2 linked regions of the Lonchura striata genome follow. The protein of the gene in region 2 purifies or fractionates together with the protein of the main gene of each other region. This does not show direct contact. Links are inferred from orthologs where the notes say so. Each region holds a gene or a part of one and is shown on either strand. Other genes may lie near its edges.

Region 1 (6,750 bases), on a different chromosome or scaffold from region 2:
CTCCTGCCTTAGTGCTTGTGAGAATATCAGTGAAGTGTTGTGAAAATTTCTTTATTTGACAGCTAAATCATCTTCCCTTCCCAGCATCCACCCTCAAGGGTCATGGAGGGGCAGTAAGGACAACATCCCACCACGGGAAGATGAGAACAGCTGGGCAAGGAAGCAGCAAAATCTCTTTACACCAGTGAGCCCTGGTGGCCAAACCCCTTCAGCAGGGGAACAGCATTGCTGTGGGCATGCAAGGAAGGAAACCTGGCAGAAAGAGGGAAAATGCCTGCTCCACAGATGGTAAAATAGAGGGAAGCAGGAAAACCAGCATGCCACAGATGACCCCATAGCAGGGGGCCCAGCTGTCCACTCTGACCCCTTTCTGGACCCTGAGCTGTCCCCCTGAGAGAACAGGGACCCCTGCACATCTCCATGCCCTGCCCAGCAGCGGGGAAGGAAGGAAGGGGTGGGATTGGGATCATGGATTCCCACTCCCGCCAAGCACTGGAGATGCTCAGCGCCTTGGAGAGCTGCTCTGGCTCTGCCTGTGGACACTGAGCACACTGGATATTTGGGGCTGAATTCTTGTCCCTTATTTCTTTCTCTCCAGCTTTCTCTCACCTGAATTTCCTCCCCACCTGCATCTCTGCTGCCTCAGCACCCTCCCATCCCACTGAGGCTTTGGGAATGGTCACATACAGAGCTGATCCTTGCCCTTGGCACTGCCACATTTTTGCCTGCCTGCAGGTTTTCCAGTCAGGGATATTCAGGAATCAAATGGATATGTTCTCCCCTGCTTCACAGGGATGCCTGGAGAGCCAAGGGATAACAGGTGGAAGAGCCTCCCTGTCCATCCCACACTCCCTGAGCAGGGCAGGCTGGGCAGGAAAGGCAGGCCCAAAGAAAAGGCTGCATCAAGCAGCAAAGTCTCAGCAAGCAAACAGATTCAAAAACAAGGAAATCAATCCACAGGTCCAGTTTAGTGTCAGTCGGTAGGTTGGAGTCCAGACCAGCTGCAGCTGACCCAGAAACCAGTCCTGACATAGCTGAGACTAGGACTGAGACCCCTGGGTTGAGCTTAAAAAGAGCTCCTGGGCCGTGGGCACAGGGGGTTGGAGTCCTAGATGGGGTTGGTGAGGAACATTCAGGTTTATTAATGTCCTCAGGGTCCTTACAACATCCCTCTTCTTATTATGCTGGAGCTCTGCAAAGGGATTTGTCTTATGAAAGGGATTTTTCCCTTTTCTTTTACCGTTGGGTTATTCAAAATGAGGATTATCTTGAGCTCTGTAATTTTCTGCTTATGGCAGGGATAAGAACTCAGCAGAGAGCTGGTGCCACCCTAGGGTGCTCCTAGGGTTCCTCTGGCATCTTGGCACAGCCCCTGCGCCCTGGGCTGTATCCTCAGGGGGCTGCTGCTGGGAAGCAGCAGCTCTGGACCCTGACTGGGATGAGGGCAGGGGATCCCTGCAGCTGTGGCATCCTGGAGGTGCCTGTGCACCCCTTTTGCCAGGGTTGCAATGTGCCCTGGCATCAGCCCGCTGCCGAGTGCAACGTGATGAGAGGCTGAGACCTGAGCTGCGCCGATGTGACGCAGAGATGGGCGATGGCACCGAGACTTTCCTTGTATCGGATGCTCCCACTTTCCGTCCTCTTCCCAACCAGGGCCACCTTGCATGAAAGAAAATATGGAGAGGGCAGGTGGAGGACAGGGGCTCAGGTTACTGCTCCTCTCCACCTGCTCTGATCTCCATTAGGAATATGTTTCTGGGGTTTTTTCCCCACTTTTCCAGGTCTGTCTGGGCTCTGTGCTGCATCCAGCAGCCCTCTCCATTCCTGTCACCACAAGCTCTCCTCTTGGCTGCTCTCCCAAACAGCTCTTCCAAGCTCACACCTCCTGTGGGGTTGGGACCAGGCAAGAGGGTCCCACAGGGATTTGGAAATCCTCTGGCATGGGGTTGGGATGGCACTGGAATGCTCAGAGAGAAACTGTAATGGGAAAGGGGAACCAGAAAACACTCTCTGGGTGTGGGTCCCACTGTAACCAGAGTGGCTGCTCAAGGAGGGCAGACAGACAATACTCAGCATGTAATTCTTTTACTCTTATTTTTTCATCACTCCTGCCTTCCCCATTTGCTTCTTCTCCATTTTAAAGGACTCCCCATCCTCTTTTCCAGCTTTTGTTTCCCTGATTCCCCACGGCTGGAGCTGTCTGTGCCTTTGTCCCCCCATCTCTGCTTTTCCTTTCCCACCCTACTGAGCTCATTTCAGCTATTCCTTGGCTTGGAGTAACCCATCCACACTGTTGTCCTCCAACAAATAAGCTGACAGGCTAATGAATAGCTTCAGATGGTAATTAGCAACGGAGTTGCTAATAATGAATTTCATTTACATTTTAAGCGCTGCAGAGGGAAAATAAGCCCCTGTCATTAATGCCCCCCTGCTCCCAGCACAGCCTTGGCCTTGGGGGGAATGCACCCTCTGGAAGCCTTTCTGTGATTGCACCTCTCCCGCCTCCATTTCGGAGGCTGCGATAAGCAGAGTTCATTAAGCAGCAATTAGAGATGGAGGGGGGGAGAAGCTGCTGCTGCTTCCATCATCTGATGGTGGGGAAGCGCCATGGTGCCATGGAAAATGGGCCACGGGAGGCAGGAGCTGGTTCTGGGCCAGGAAAGAAGGGCTGGGTGGTTCAGCCAGCACCAGGGATTCACGTGGCTTGCCCAGAGCCCTGGAGCTGTCAGCTCTCCACATCCATGTAACCCTCCCAGGCTCCCTGGATAATGACCCTGAGGGATTTCTCAGTCACTGAAATCCTTCCCGATTATTTCCCTAGGGGTTTAGCACATTTTGAAGGCAGGAATTTCCCTGAGGGGCTTAATCCATCCCTGCCTGCCCAAAGAAAGAGCCAAGTGCCTTCTGCATGGATTCCATGATTTGTTGGCAAATGGAAAGATGGAGAAATGTCATTGTTTTGTCTTGTAGGAGTGGGGAATCCATGGTGGGAGCACAGGGAACAGGTTTGCCCACTACTGCAGAGCATCAGAAGGGACTTGGGAATGCTCAAAGCCTGGATCTGGTGCTGGGGGTGAGCCTAGGAGTGTTGCTTGCCCTGCCTCAGTTTCCCTCTGTGCCCAAGGCGCCTCAGGGAGGGTTAGATGGATTGGGAAACAATGCTCCGCATCTACAGGGGTTTTCCAGCACACTGCTTGTGGATGGAGGGTCCCATCCCATCCCATCCCATCCCATCCCACAGACCCACCCAGACCCCAGTCCAGTGGTTGGATCAGGGGGTGTCCCAAATCCATCCCCATTTAGGCAGTGGTATACATAGAAAGCTGCTTTGGGGACCACAGGGATGAGGGATTCTCCCCAGATAGGATGTGACAGCCACATCCTGCCTTCACCTTTGCAGACATGGATCGATTTTATGATTTATTTATTTATTTATTTATGTTTTTTTTTTCAAGCCCTGCTAGAAGTGAAACCAATCCAGGGGCCTCCAGAGGCCGATAAGATTTGACTGCAAGTCAATACTCACATGTCTTTCCACTGTGCAATGATCCCCCGGCCAGCGGGGCGGGAGGGGACAGGCAGGTGACAGGGGCGGGCAGAAGGCCAGCCTGGGGCAGGGACATCGCCTCTGCTCTGGGAAGGGATTGGGGGCAGGAAGGGGACATCTCCTAGCCTGCAGCAGGGATTTTCTGGGATTTGTTGCCAGTATATATAATGGTGAGCCCGCAGTGGGCAGCTCCACATTGGGGATGAATGAGGGACAGGGACTGGGAGAGCTGCAGGGAGAGGGAGGGATGGGGAAGGAGGAGGAGCGGGAGAGAGGGAGAGAAATTGCCCATGAAAACCAGCTCTGCCATGGCATCTGCTCCTCGGAGCTTTGGGAATTGAGAGGTTTTCCTGCTGGCAAAGCCGGGGCTGAGGCAGCAGGGTGCTGGGGGGAGCAGAGCCCTGGCACACTCGATGCACGCTCGCCTGCGATGCCATCTGCCAGGCTTTCTCCTGGCTGCGGGTTCCTGTGGCTTCTCTCATGGCTAACAAGGGTCGAGCTCAGACTCCGAAGTACTTCCTGAAGTACCTGCTGCATCTTTGTGCCATCCCTGGACACAGCGTGGCTGGGATTCCGCATCCCTCTGGGAATGCTGCAGGGCAGGCAGGCAGGGTGACATTTGCAGTTAGCAGTGGGCGTCCTTGAGAGGAGCGAGCACCGAGAGAAGGGACCAGGTTCTCTTTAAGGGGGCAGGACTTTGGGAACATTATGAAGGCAAGAGTGAGCTTCTCCCTCTGCCTTCCACCCTCCCCTCCTTCCCTTCTCTGTTCCAGGACAGAGACCTGGGTTCCCTGCCCTCCCCTTTGCCTGGCAGGGATGAAGGCAGGAGCAGGGTGCTGGGATGGGCGGCTGAGCAGGGGAGGAGGAGGAGGAGGGGAGGAAGGGGAGGGAGAGGGGGAGGATCTGCTAATTACACAGAACAGCTCTGGGGGCTGCTGAAGTCCAGAATGAAGCAAAGAGCAGCAGAAGCGAGTGCTGCAGCGGGAGCGGAGGAGCCCAAGCATCACCAAGAGCTGGAGCTGGCTGTTATCCCTGCTGAGAGCAACTGGGAGCACCCAGAGGATCCTGCAGCCCTGCCTCCCACAGGAGACAGCCTCTGGCACTGCCACCGAGCCCACAGCCAGCCCCTGGAGAGCCGAGGAGAAAGGGCTGGTGGTTGCAGCACACAGGGCTGGGCTGGAGGGCAGCGAGGTCAGCCCTGCTATGGTTGCCGGGGGCTAGGAGCCTGTGTGGATCCACCGGGAAGAGGTGAAGGATGGCTGCCGAAGGAGGGAGAGCCAAGCCCGCTGCCCAGTCCAGGATGGAGAACTTCCGAAAGGTGAGGACCTCGGAGGAGGAGATGCCATTACCCTTCCCAGACCTGCCCCCGGACGTGGTGGAGATGAAAGTCAAGGAGGGCAGCAAGATCAGGAACCTGATGAACTTCGCCATGGCCCAGATGGAGCTGAAGGGCAGGCGGCAGATCGTGTTCAGCGGCTGCGGCAGGGCGGTCACCAAGACCATCACCTGCGTGGAGATCATGAAGCGCAAGCTGGGAGGGCTCCACCAGGTCACCAAGGTACGCTACAAAACTGTGCTGGAGGTCTGGGAGAACCAGGACCCACCGCCCGACGGCCCCGCACAGAACCTGACTGTCCACAAGAACGTCCCCTCCATCTGCATCCTGCTCTCCCGGGACCCCCTGGATCCCAACCAGATGGGGTACCAGCCCCCCGAGCCCCGGCATGAGGCGGGAGAAGACACACTGGGGTCCTCCACCAAGGGGCTGAAGCGGACGCTGCCACCTCCCTGCGAGGAGCTGCTGCCCAAGAAGCTGCAGGTACAGGTGCCTGACAGCCCCAGGGGCACGGGGACCACTGCTGGCCAGCAGGACCACTGACCCCAGTGCCTCCCACCCTACCAGCCAGGTATCGAGGCAGGAATATCCACTCATTCCAAGGTCACTGGTGGGCTGCAGACTCCCCCTGACCTGTCCCCACTTGCTGCTTTGACCCCTGTGGATGGGGGTCCCCAGATTTGGCGTGAGTGTTAAACGGTTAAACCCTCCATGGATTGAAGCAGGTGAGGCTGTGGGGGGGAGCTGGTGACCTCTAATTCAGCCAACCAGGGACACTGTGACCACCAGCCACCTCCTGCAGCAACTCCCAGGGAGCCAGAGCAGCCGAGGGGTGCCTGGACCACCACACCGCTCCCCACTGCAAACACCTCATCCATCAGGAGAGATGGGTTTGCTCCAAGCTTGTTGGAATAAAACCTTCATTATCAAACCTGCCGCTGAGGAGCTGTTGGAGTTACTAATGACAGGCTCAGCATCCTGTGAGACTGTGATTCATCCCAAAAAAATCACCCAAACAAGCACAGGGGTTGTTCTCTCCCTGCACCCACAGAGCCAAGCACTGTACTGTGCTGCCTGCCTGTGGGACAGCAAAAGGAAATAAAACAACCCACACTGGATACTCTGGTCTGGAGCTCGGGGAAGCCACGGTGTGGGAAGCTGGGGGCAATGGAAGCATTGGGCAGGGGATTATTGTGACTGGATGCAGTGCCCAGCACAGGATGAGGAGGTTTTGGGGTTGTGCCTTGGCTGCAGAGTGCTTCAGAGCAAAATCCCTGCTACTTCCAGGGGGTAAAGAGAAATGAATGGAAAATAAAAGCTCTTTAGAAATAGATATGTCTATGGGAAAAAGGGGGGATCATCGTGGCTGCTGGCCATGGCACGGATCAGCACAGTGAAGGCTGCTGCCAGCCCTCAACAAGGGGATCCCAGCCAGACTCTGTCCCTTGGAAGAACGGGACTGGGGTCTCCTGTGCCGGCACAGCAGCACCTGGCAAAGCCCCAGTTCCAGGGGGGACGGAGGAGATGTGGGGGATGTGTTATGGGATGCCAAGCCTTGATCCACCTGGTTCCCTCTGCCCAGCGCCTAGCAGCACTGCGGGATGAATTAATCGGTATTAAGGAGCAAACCCTTCCCAAAATCCACGTGAGGGATTCTCTGGCTGCAGCTGCCTTATCTCCCTGCCTCACTCCTGCTCTACAGGGACAGTCAGCGTTCTCTCTTTGTCAAGGGCTTGCTTGGCTGGGAGTGGGAATGAAAGGAGAGGAGGAGGAAGAGGAGGAAGCAGGGTCTGTTTTGTGAGGCAGTGACCTTGTTATCTCCCTCAGCAGGCAGATGCTCCTCGGGCCAGACGCTTGTGCTTATCTG
Region 2 (7,620 bases):
CATGGCTGTTGCTTCTTCCATCTGCCAGAAAACCTACTCTTTGAGCTGCAGGAAAACACGTTTCTGTGAATGCTTCTGAGTTTCCATGAAATCACAGGTCAATGGTTCCTTTCAACTTGAATTTCTTTGCCGATCGCTCACTTGCTCTGAGCAGGAACTTGCTGCCATAGATGTAGGAAATGAATCCATCAAGCTCCAAGCTAAACACGTTGTTAAGTTTGGGAACAACTGAAATGCAAAAGGACATAAACTGAGCAAAGTGTGCTGATTTAAGTCCCTGTTGTGGAAATATCCTGACATACCAGGGGATGTTATTCACCCGGAGATTTGAGCCTTGACACATTTCAAGGATTTTATACTTTATCAAGAGAAGAAAAATAACCCAAGCCTCCACATTTAACTGGAATAACCAAAGTTAATTCTCCTGCAGGAGCATACAGTTCAGTGTTACATCTTCTAAAACTGCTCATTTGTGATGTGTAGGGTGGTAACCTCTGCCACTCTGTGCAAAGAGCCAAAAGCACTGATATAAAACAATGTACGCAGCAGCACAAAATGAAGAGTGTGCTCAAGAATTTTTTTATGATTCATGTCATGAAAAGAACTGAAAAAGAATGCCTTGTATACCTTTTAACTTATCCTCTTTAGTGATAATTTTGAAGATGTGTTTAAATTCCTGTAGAATGATTCCTGTTATCCCAACATAAGAGGGGCACTTTGATTTTGTAACTGAAAGAACAACAATATGTATTAGAAAATTTATCTGCTCTTCTCCTGTTGCTTCATGATTTTATACATTTTCAAACATAAACATTTAAATATTCTGAACTAATGTAGTTACAGTAATCACTGGTAAAATGTGCAGTTAACCTTTGCAACCAACATGATTTTCAAGAGTAGTTGTAAAGTAATTAGCATTTTTAAGGAGAGAAATAAGATCTCAACTACATGATTTTAGAGCTAACGAAGCTGAAAGGAATATAAAAATAAGCACCTGAACTACAGAATCAAATACTGAACTTTAGATGATGTTCTACAAGCAAACAAACAAAATACCTGTAACAATGGCTCCATGGAGATCAGCTTTGAGCAGCTTGCTCTGAATCATATGGGGTTGCCTTGAAGAAGAGAACGGGATCAGAGAGGAGGGAAAAAAATCAAATGAACTGTCAGATTTACAAAATGTCACCATAACTATTATAATCATGATAATTCTGTGATTCTGTAAAATAGTACCAATATGCTTATCAGTGAGCCACAGTGTTTCAAGTAGTAACTCAATAAAATTGGAAGTATCTACTGTATAAAACCCAGACTAAATTTAAAATATGTCAACATACGCATCAGGTTTGAGTCCATGGCACAGGTCTCTGATATACTGTTTCCAAAGCTCGTGGAGTGGGAGGAAAATGGCATATCTGCAGTAAAAAAAGATAAATGAAAAGTATTAAACAAAATTTAGTTGTAAAAAAGTCCATTGGCTGAAGTAGTCTGTACTTCCACAGAGTTAAGTCTGACATTTTTAAGTTACATAAGCTTAAGTTACCCTGCAATGTGACCCACTCCAAACAGCTGGTTTACTTTATAAAACAAGCACAAAGCATGTTCTTTTCTACCAACCTAAAACAGTGATGTGTTTCAGAGCATCAGGCTAAGACTGAAGAAATTTCTCCTTTTTTGCCTATTCTTTTACCTCCCTGCTTAATTTGTTAGCAAAGTAGGGGCTTCATTCAGCACAATAAATTCAAAGAACCTTATGCAGAACTTTGACTCTGTGGTCACAGACAGTCCAACTTTACAAACTGGAACCAGAGGGGATTGTGACTGGGTTTGATTTCTTGTCATATTTAGGTACACAAAATGAGCTCAACAGAAATTAATCTTTCACCTGTGCAGACAAGAGAATTCTTTTCTCATGCTGAAATGCCACAAGCAGTGTTTCAGACTGACTTTGCACACTGCAGGGCTCCTATCCACATGCACTTGCTACTGCTTTTACACACTTTTGATGTAGTTCCACTTTACTACACAAAGTTATATTTAAAGCCCTACCTTTGCTGCTCAGGTTCAATTTCAAACAGACGCAGCTCTCGCCTCTGCTTGGCAGTAAAACCTTTTGTCTTCTTCCTCTTTTGCTTGGTCTTTTTTTTGGGATAATGCTCCAGAATGACAGCTTTCCGATTTAGCATATCCTGGATAGCTTCATCTTTCATTTTGGGCATGCTGCGCCTCAGGAAGGCATGTACAAATGTCTTGGCTTCTTCTGAGCCCTGGGGCTAAAGACAGTTGAAAGGATGCTTTAAAATTTTAGGTGTTAATTAAGTTAGAACTTGTTGCTGACCGGTGGTTTCATCCAGTCGGCAAAATCTCCGTGGGAATGGGAGATTTTCCCCTCAGTGCCGGTGGAGGGAGATGCCGAAGGCCGGCGGACTCACGTTTTGGAGGAAAAGCCCTCGTTTCGCATTTCGTTTGAAACAGCGAGTTCCAAGCGGGATATACAGGGGAAACCGGGGCCCGAACCCACCCCCGCCCGCGGGAGCCCGGCGGGGTTTGAGAGGCCGCGTAGGAGCGGACTGGCCAGGTGCCGCGGCGGGGCTGCGGGTCCGTACCTGCAGGCGCGGCTCCCCGCTCTCCTCGGGCGGCAGCCGGCGGTACAGCTGCCCTGCCGGGCACGGCGGGGCGGGTCAGCGCGGCGGGGCTCAGCCCGCCCCTGGCCCCACCGCCCCCTGCGCCCCTCATCCTCCACCGCCCTCCCTGCGCCCCTCATCCTCCACCGCCCTCCCTGCGCCCCTCATCCTCCACCGCCCTCCCTGCGCCCCTCATCCTCCACCGCCCCCCGCGCCCGCCCCATCCCTCGCCTCGCAATGCCCGCCCCCGTCCCTCCCTTTGCACCGCCCGCCCTCCATCCCTCGCTTCGAACCGCCCGCCCTCCAGGCCTCACTGCACCGCCCTCCATCCCCTCACCCTCCATCACTCTCCCCTCGTCCCCTCACCCTCCACCGCTTTCCCCTCATCCCTTCATTCTTCATCCTTCACTCTCCATCCCTCCCCTCCACCGCTCTCCGAGACCTCATCTCTCGCCCTCCATCCCTCGCCCCGCACTGCTCCCTCCATCCCTCGCCCTCTCTCTCCCTTCTCCCCCACCATCGCTCCCTCCATCCCTCGCCCTCCCTCCCTTCTCCCCGCTCATCGCTCCCTCCATCCCTCGCCCTCTCTCCCCTCTCTCCCCTCTCTCCCCTCTCTCCCCTCTCTCCCCTCTCTCCCCTCTCTCCCCTCTCTCCCCTCTCTCCCCTCTCTCCCCTCTCTCCCCTCTCTCCCCTCACCCTCCATGGCGTCCTGCCGCAGCCGGCGCCGGCCGATGACGAGTCGCACACGCGTGCGCACAGCGGCGCTTCCCGACCTGGCCGCAAGGCGGCGTTGCCGCCCGCCGTGAGGGCGGCTGCCGTAGCAGTTGGCTTTTTCCTGCTATTTCCTGCTCTTGCGCTGATAAATTCTGACCTGGGAGGCACTGAACAGCAGCCATTCCGTTTCCTGTGACGGGGGAGGTTTTTAAAAGCGCTGTCAATCCCCGTGGGGCGCGGTGGCGGACAGGCGCTGAGCGCTGCGGCAGCACGGCCATGGCAGCGTCCTCCCCCAGAACGGCAGAGTCGGCAGCCCGCCCTCACTGCCCCCTCAGCCCGCAGCCGCTGGGATTCCCAGTGCCACCTCTCCTCCTCGCCTCCCTCTTCTGTTGCCTCTTTGTTCAGGAGATCCGCCCTTCCCGATTTCCCGGAGTGGCGCTGGAGCCGGCCGCCGCCCCGGCTCCGGGCCGTGGCGGCGCTGCGCCGCTGCCCCTGCTGAGGTTCCGCCGCTGCCGCCTCTCCTGGCAGGACAGTGTCACTGGCACATTCCTCTCTCTCAGGAATTTTCATAGAGGTGCACAGGGAAAAAAAAGAGAAAGCAATTTCTATTTCTGCTCCTTGTTTTTGTCATGAGGAATGTGTTTGGAGGATTGTTTACATGGGGTGATTGCTTGATTGGATTCTGGTGAGGATTGTTTGAGCCTGATGGCCAACCCAACACACCTGTGGCTGGACTCTCGAGAGAGGGTCACCAGTTGTGACTTAGTTAGATATGGTAGTTAGAAAAGTAGGTATGTAGTTGTAGTATCTTCCTTTTTATAGTATATTCATGTATTTTAGCATAGTTATAATAAAGAAGTCATTCAGCCTTCTGAACTGAGTCAGACATTGTCATTTCTTCCCATTGGGTTTGCCTGCATTTACAACAGGAGAGAAGTTCTTTCCTAGTCCCACCCTGTCCTACACGGCCTCTCCAGCCACAGCCCTGGCTGTCGCTGCAGGGAGTGCCTGGCTCTGCTCTCAGTTGTTAACAGTGTGTCAGAGCTGTCCTGGAACTGCACACCTGGCAACATGAGATCTTGGGTTAAAATCAAGTTAAAACCAATCTCCTGCTTCTAGCAATCAAGGTCAGGACACAGGAAGATGCCACTTGCTGTGAGATTTACATGCTCTGACACATCAGGGCCTCTTTCCTTCTGGGACAGGACAAAGTCCTGCTCACTTACAAAACAGAAGTGTCTTGAAACCAGCATGGTCAATTCTTTTTCCTGCCAGCCCAGTCCCAACCCCTGCAGTTCTCTGTTCAGGCATAAGCAAAGATACAGAAAATATTTATATTCTTTTCACATGGTGATATTTGCTTAGCAGATAATTAAGCACTGCTTGGTAAAGGATATTTGGGGAGGGAGTTACAGGGGCAGGGTATAGGAAGCATGATGGTTTTGTGGAGTGCTGCTGTGGGGCACAAAGGTACTAAAGTGATCCCTAACAGGGAATGAAACAGTAGATCTCTCTGGTTGTGTGTAAAGGAGAAGGGGCCAGTGTCTGCAGAGTATAAACATGAACAGCAGCTGGTTTTTATCACAGACCTCCAGGCAGTAAAGTATGTAACCACAGCAAGTGGATCTCTTGGTTTTACAAAGCGGGGACTCCTTGAGTTGTCATTGCTACTATGAGAAGATCAATTTTCATGAATGGAGTACCAGGATAAGTGCTATGGGTCTTTAGGGCCATATGAGTGCTCCTTCACTGGATTTATGCTGCAATTCTTAGGGCACTTCAGGGATTAATAGTCAAATCAGTGTTGTCGGTGCTGGTGTTGTAAATCCAATGATCCAGGCTAAACTGGCGCCTGGGGAAACCAGTTTCTTCCAACAGCTCTACATCTTCATTTCCCAATTTATCTTCAGCTATAATGTCTGAGGGAGCGAGCTCAGCGCGTTACTGTGTGTCCTGGCAAGAAGGCTCTCTGTCAGGAGTCGAGGCTCACATCAAATAAACATGACAAAGAATAGGTGAAGAAACTGAGAAACCACAGAATAGGCAAAGGCAGTTTGCAGATAAGAAAAAGAAGGTTCAGAGAAATGAGGAAATATGGGTAAGATGTGAATGTAAAGTGATATGGAAATATGCCAGCAAAAAACTGTAATGATTATTTTGGGATGTGCAGCACCCTATCTTAGTATCTTAGAATTTTGAAGCTTTTGACATAAAGCAAATCCCCTTGGAATAGGTTTGTAGTGATAAAGTTCCATGATATATATAATTAATACCATGTTATAGGTGCCAACATTGGTGTTTCTTATCCAATTTAATCTACATGGCTTTATTTATTGCTCTCCAAAAATAATAACATCCCACTCACACTTATGCAAACCCCCTTCATGGACACAGTCTAGCAGTGTGCCCTAGGGGAGGATATTGCTGTGCCTCTTGGGGCTGCTGAACTGCTGGGATGGGCAAGGACCCATGTGCAGGACAGGCTGGGGAGCAGCAGGGTCCTGGGAGAGCTGGGTGGCTCTGGAGCAATTACACAATGATCTTTATTGTGACAGTCACAGAAAGCTAAAACCTGAGATGTGAAGTGACCAAAGACAGTATAATTAAAGATGTTTGTGTTACACAAGAATAGCAGATCAGGGATTAAAAAAATAAAAAAGAGTAATTATGCACTGAGGCGAGAGATGAGCGTGAAGTTAACTGGTGTGTGCAAAAAGTCACTGCGCCGTAATCACTGCTATACTTTTGCTGACAGTGATGCAGGAAATAAATACTGTAATTCTCTAGAAGGACTGTCTCAGCAAGCATTTGAGCTCTCAAGATCAATATAGTTTATTCCTCTTGGCCAAATTGTATTAGCAGCTGAATTTAGTCCCTAGGGACATCTGTACTGGTGAAAATAATTTCTATTTAAAGCCCTCTGATCTGATTTCCTCTATCCAGGTAATACAATTCCCACCCCCTTCCCATGAGTGTGCTGAAGCAGCATCCATCCAGTCCATGCCAGCCCTGCCACCATCCCACAGCTCCTGCCGGCACCCAGACTTGGCATCCTGCTCCTGACATCTCCTTTGGGCCTGGGGGAGCTCAGTGCCAGCACTTTTAGGGCCAGTGGCTGACCATTCCCAACACAGCTCTTCCCTCCCAGCACTGGCTGTGCAGCCAGGACCCTCCCAGGGAGTCAGTCCTTGGTGATCCCTGGAAAAACCCATCCAGCAAAGGGTCATGTCTGGGGGTGGTGGGTGGGCATAGCCTGAACCTTCATCTCGTGTCAGTGTAGGTATGTATGCCAGAGGCAGGTTTGCAATATTTATGTGTGTAAGCCCAAACTCTTGCATTAGGTCCTCGGTTGACTGATTTTAGATTGCTGTGTTTGACTGATGAGCAGCATCTTTTGAAGTACCATGTATCCCTCAAATGTGTCTTTTCCATATATTTTTCCATTAATTTTTCTGCTTTATCAGCTCGCCCTTAACTCAAAGCTTGTCATCGTGTTCTGCCCCCGCCCCAAGCTGATAAACCGTCCTTCCCAGCTGAAGAGTCATTATTTCCTTGCAGTCCTGGCTCCTCATCTTGAATTGCAGCTGCTGCTCCAGGGCACAGACAAGACTGGCTTGTGTGTGCCTGACAGAAACAAGAAAGCACGGGGAAGTACAATCCAAATAGATCTCAGTGGCACAGAAATCAAAACCAAATAATAATCTAAAAATGTTTTCAGAAAATCCCAATGGTTTAATAGCTGGGTTTTAAAAAAACAAAGTGAAAGGAGGCAGGTTTTTGGCAGGCTGTGCCCTGTCTCCACAGCTGCTCACACTAGAGGGCAGCCCGAGACTGTACAGTGCATTTGGAATACAGTTCACTGTCGTAGGGTAAAAAGTAAATTATAAAACTTTACAAATAGTGTCCTCTTATGGAAGAAAAGTGCCCATTTGCAGCTTGGTTTATCATACAGAACTCCAGTTCCTCCACCTACCAGCCTCTTCTGCATCACAGTGTCAGTGAAAAGAGGATTGTGAAGGAATTCACGAGAGGAATTCACAAAGAGGATTGTGAAGGAATTCAATTTCACCACAGAATAAGGAGATAACTTTTTAAACACCAATAAATTCTTGTATCAATATAAAAAAATATATCCATCTTAAAATATTTAAAATATGGGCAACCCTAGAATACCTGAAGATAACTCCTGCAAACTACATACCTTGGTGCGCAGACCAGTGCTAAAATAGCAACACTTGCTTCCCAAAACAGTAACGAGCAGTCAGGAAAGCTGAGGCTT

Evidence for each region.
Region 1: the proteins of POP4 (region 2) and RPP25 purify together in Homo sapiens (affinity purification with mass spectrometry; 3 studies listed by BioGRID and IntAct, counting the BioPlex papers as one, with this or other methods). This does not show direct contact. The link is inferred for Lonchura striata from reciprocal best matches to the Homo sapiens genes POP4 and RPP25.

Annotation. Positions count from the first base shown.
Region 1 is NC_134613.1:5,876,222-5,882,971, forward strand, and holds RPP25 (ribonuclease P protein subunit p25), read left to right. Parts: upstream 1-4,312; 5' UTR 4,313-4,802; coding exon 4,803-5,426; 3' UTR 5,427-6,214; downstream 6,215-6,750. UniProt on the Homo sapiens protein: Component of ribonuclease P, a ribonucleoprotein complex that generates mature tRNA molecules by cleaving their 5'-ends. Also a component of the MRP ribonuclease complex, which cleaves pre-rRNA sequences.
Region 2 is NC_134615.1:9,385,829-9,393,448, forward strand, and holds the start of POP4 (ribonuclease P protein subunit p29), read right to left. Parts: upstream 3,418-7,620; 5' UTR 3,331-3,417; coding exon 3,324-3,330; intron 2,663-3,323; coding exon 2,610-2,662; intron 2,277-2,609; coding exon 2,053-2,276; intron 1,419-2,052; coding exon 1,341-1,418; intron 1,119-1,340; coding exon 1,057-1,118; intron 730-1,056; coding exon 628-729; intron 229-627; coding exon 92-228; 3' UTR 1-91. UniProt on the Homo sapiens protein: Component of ribonuclease P, a ribonucleoprotein complex that generates mature tRNA molecules by cleaving their 5'-ends.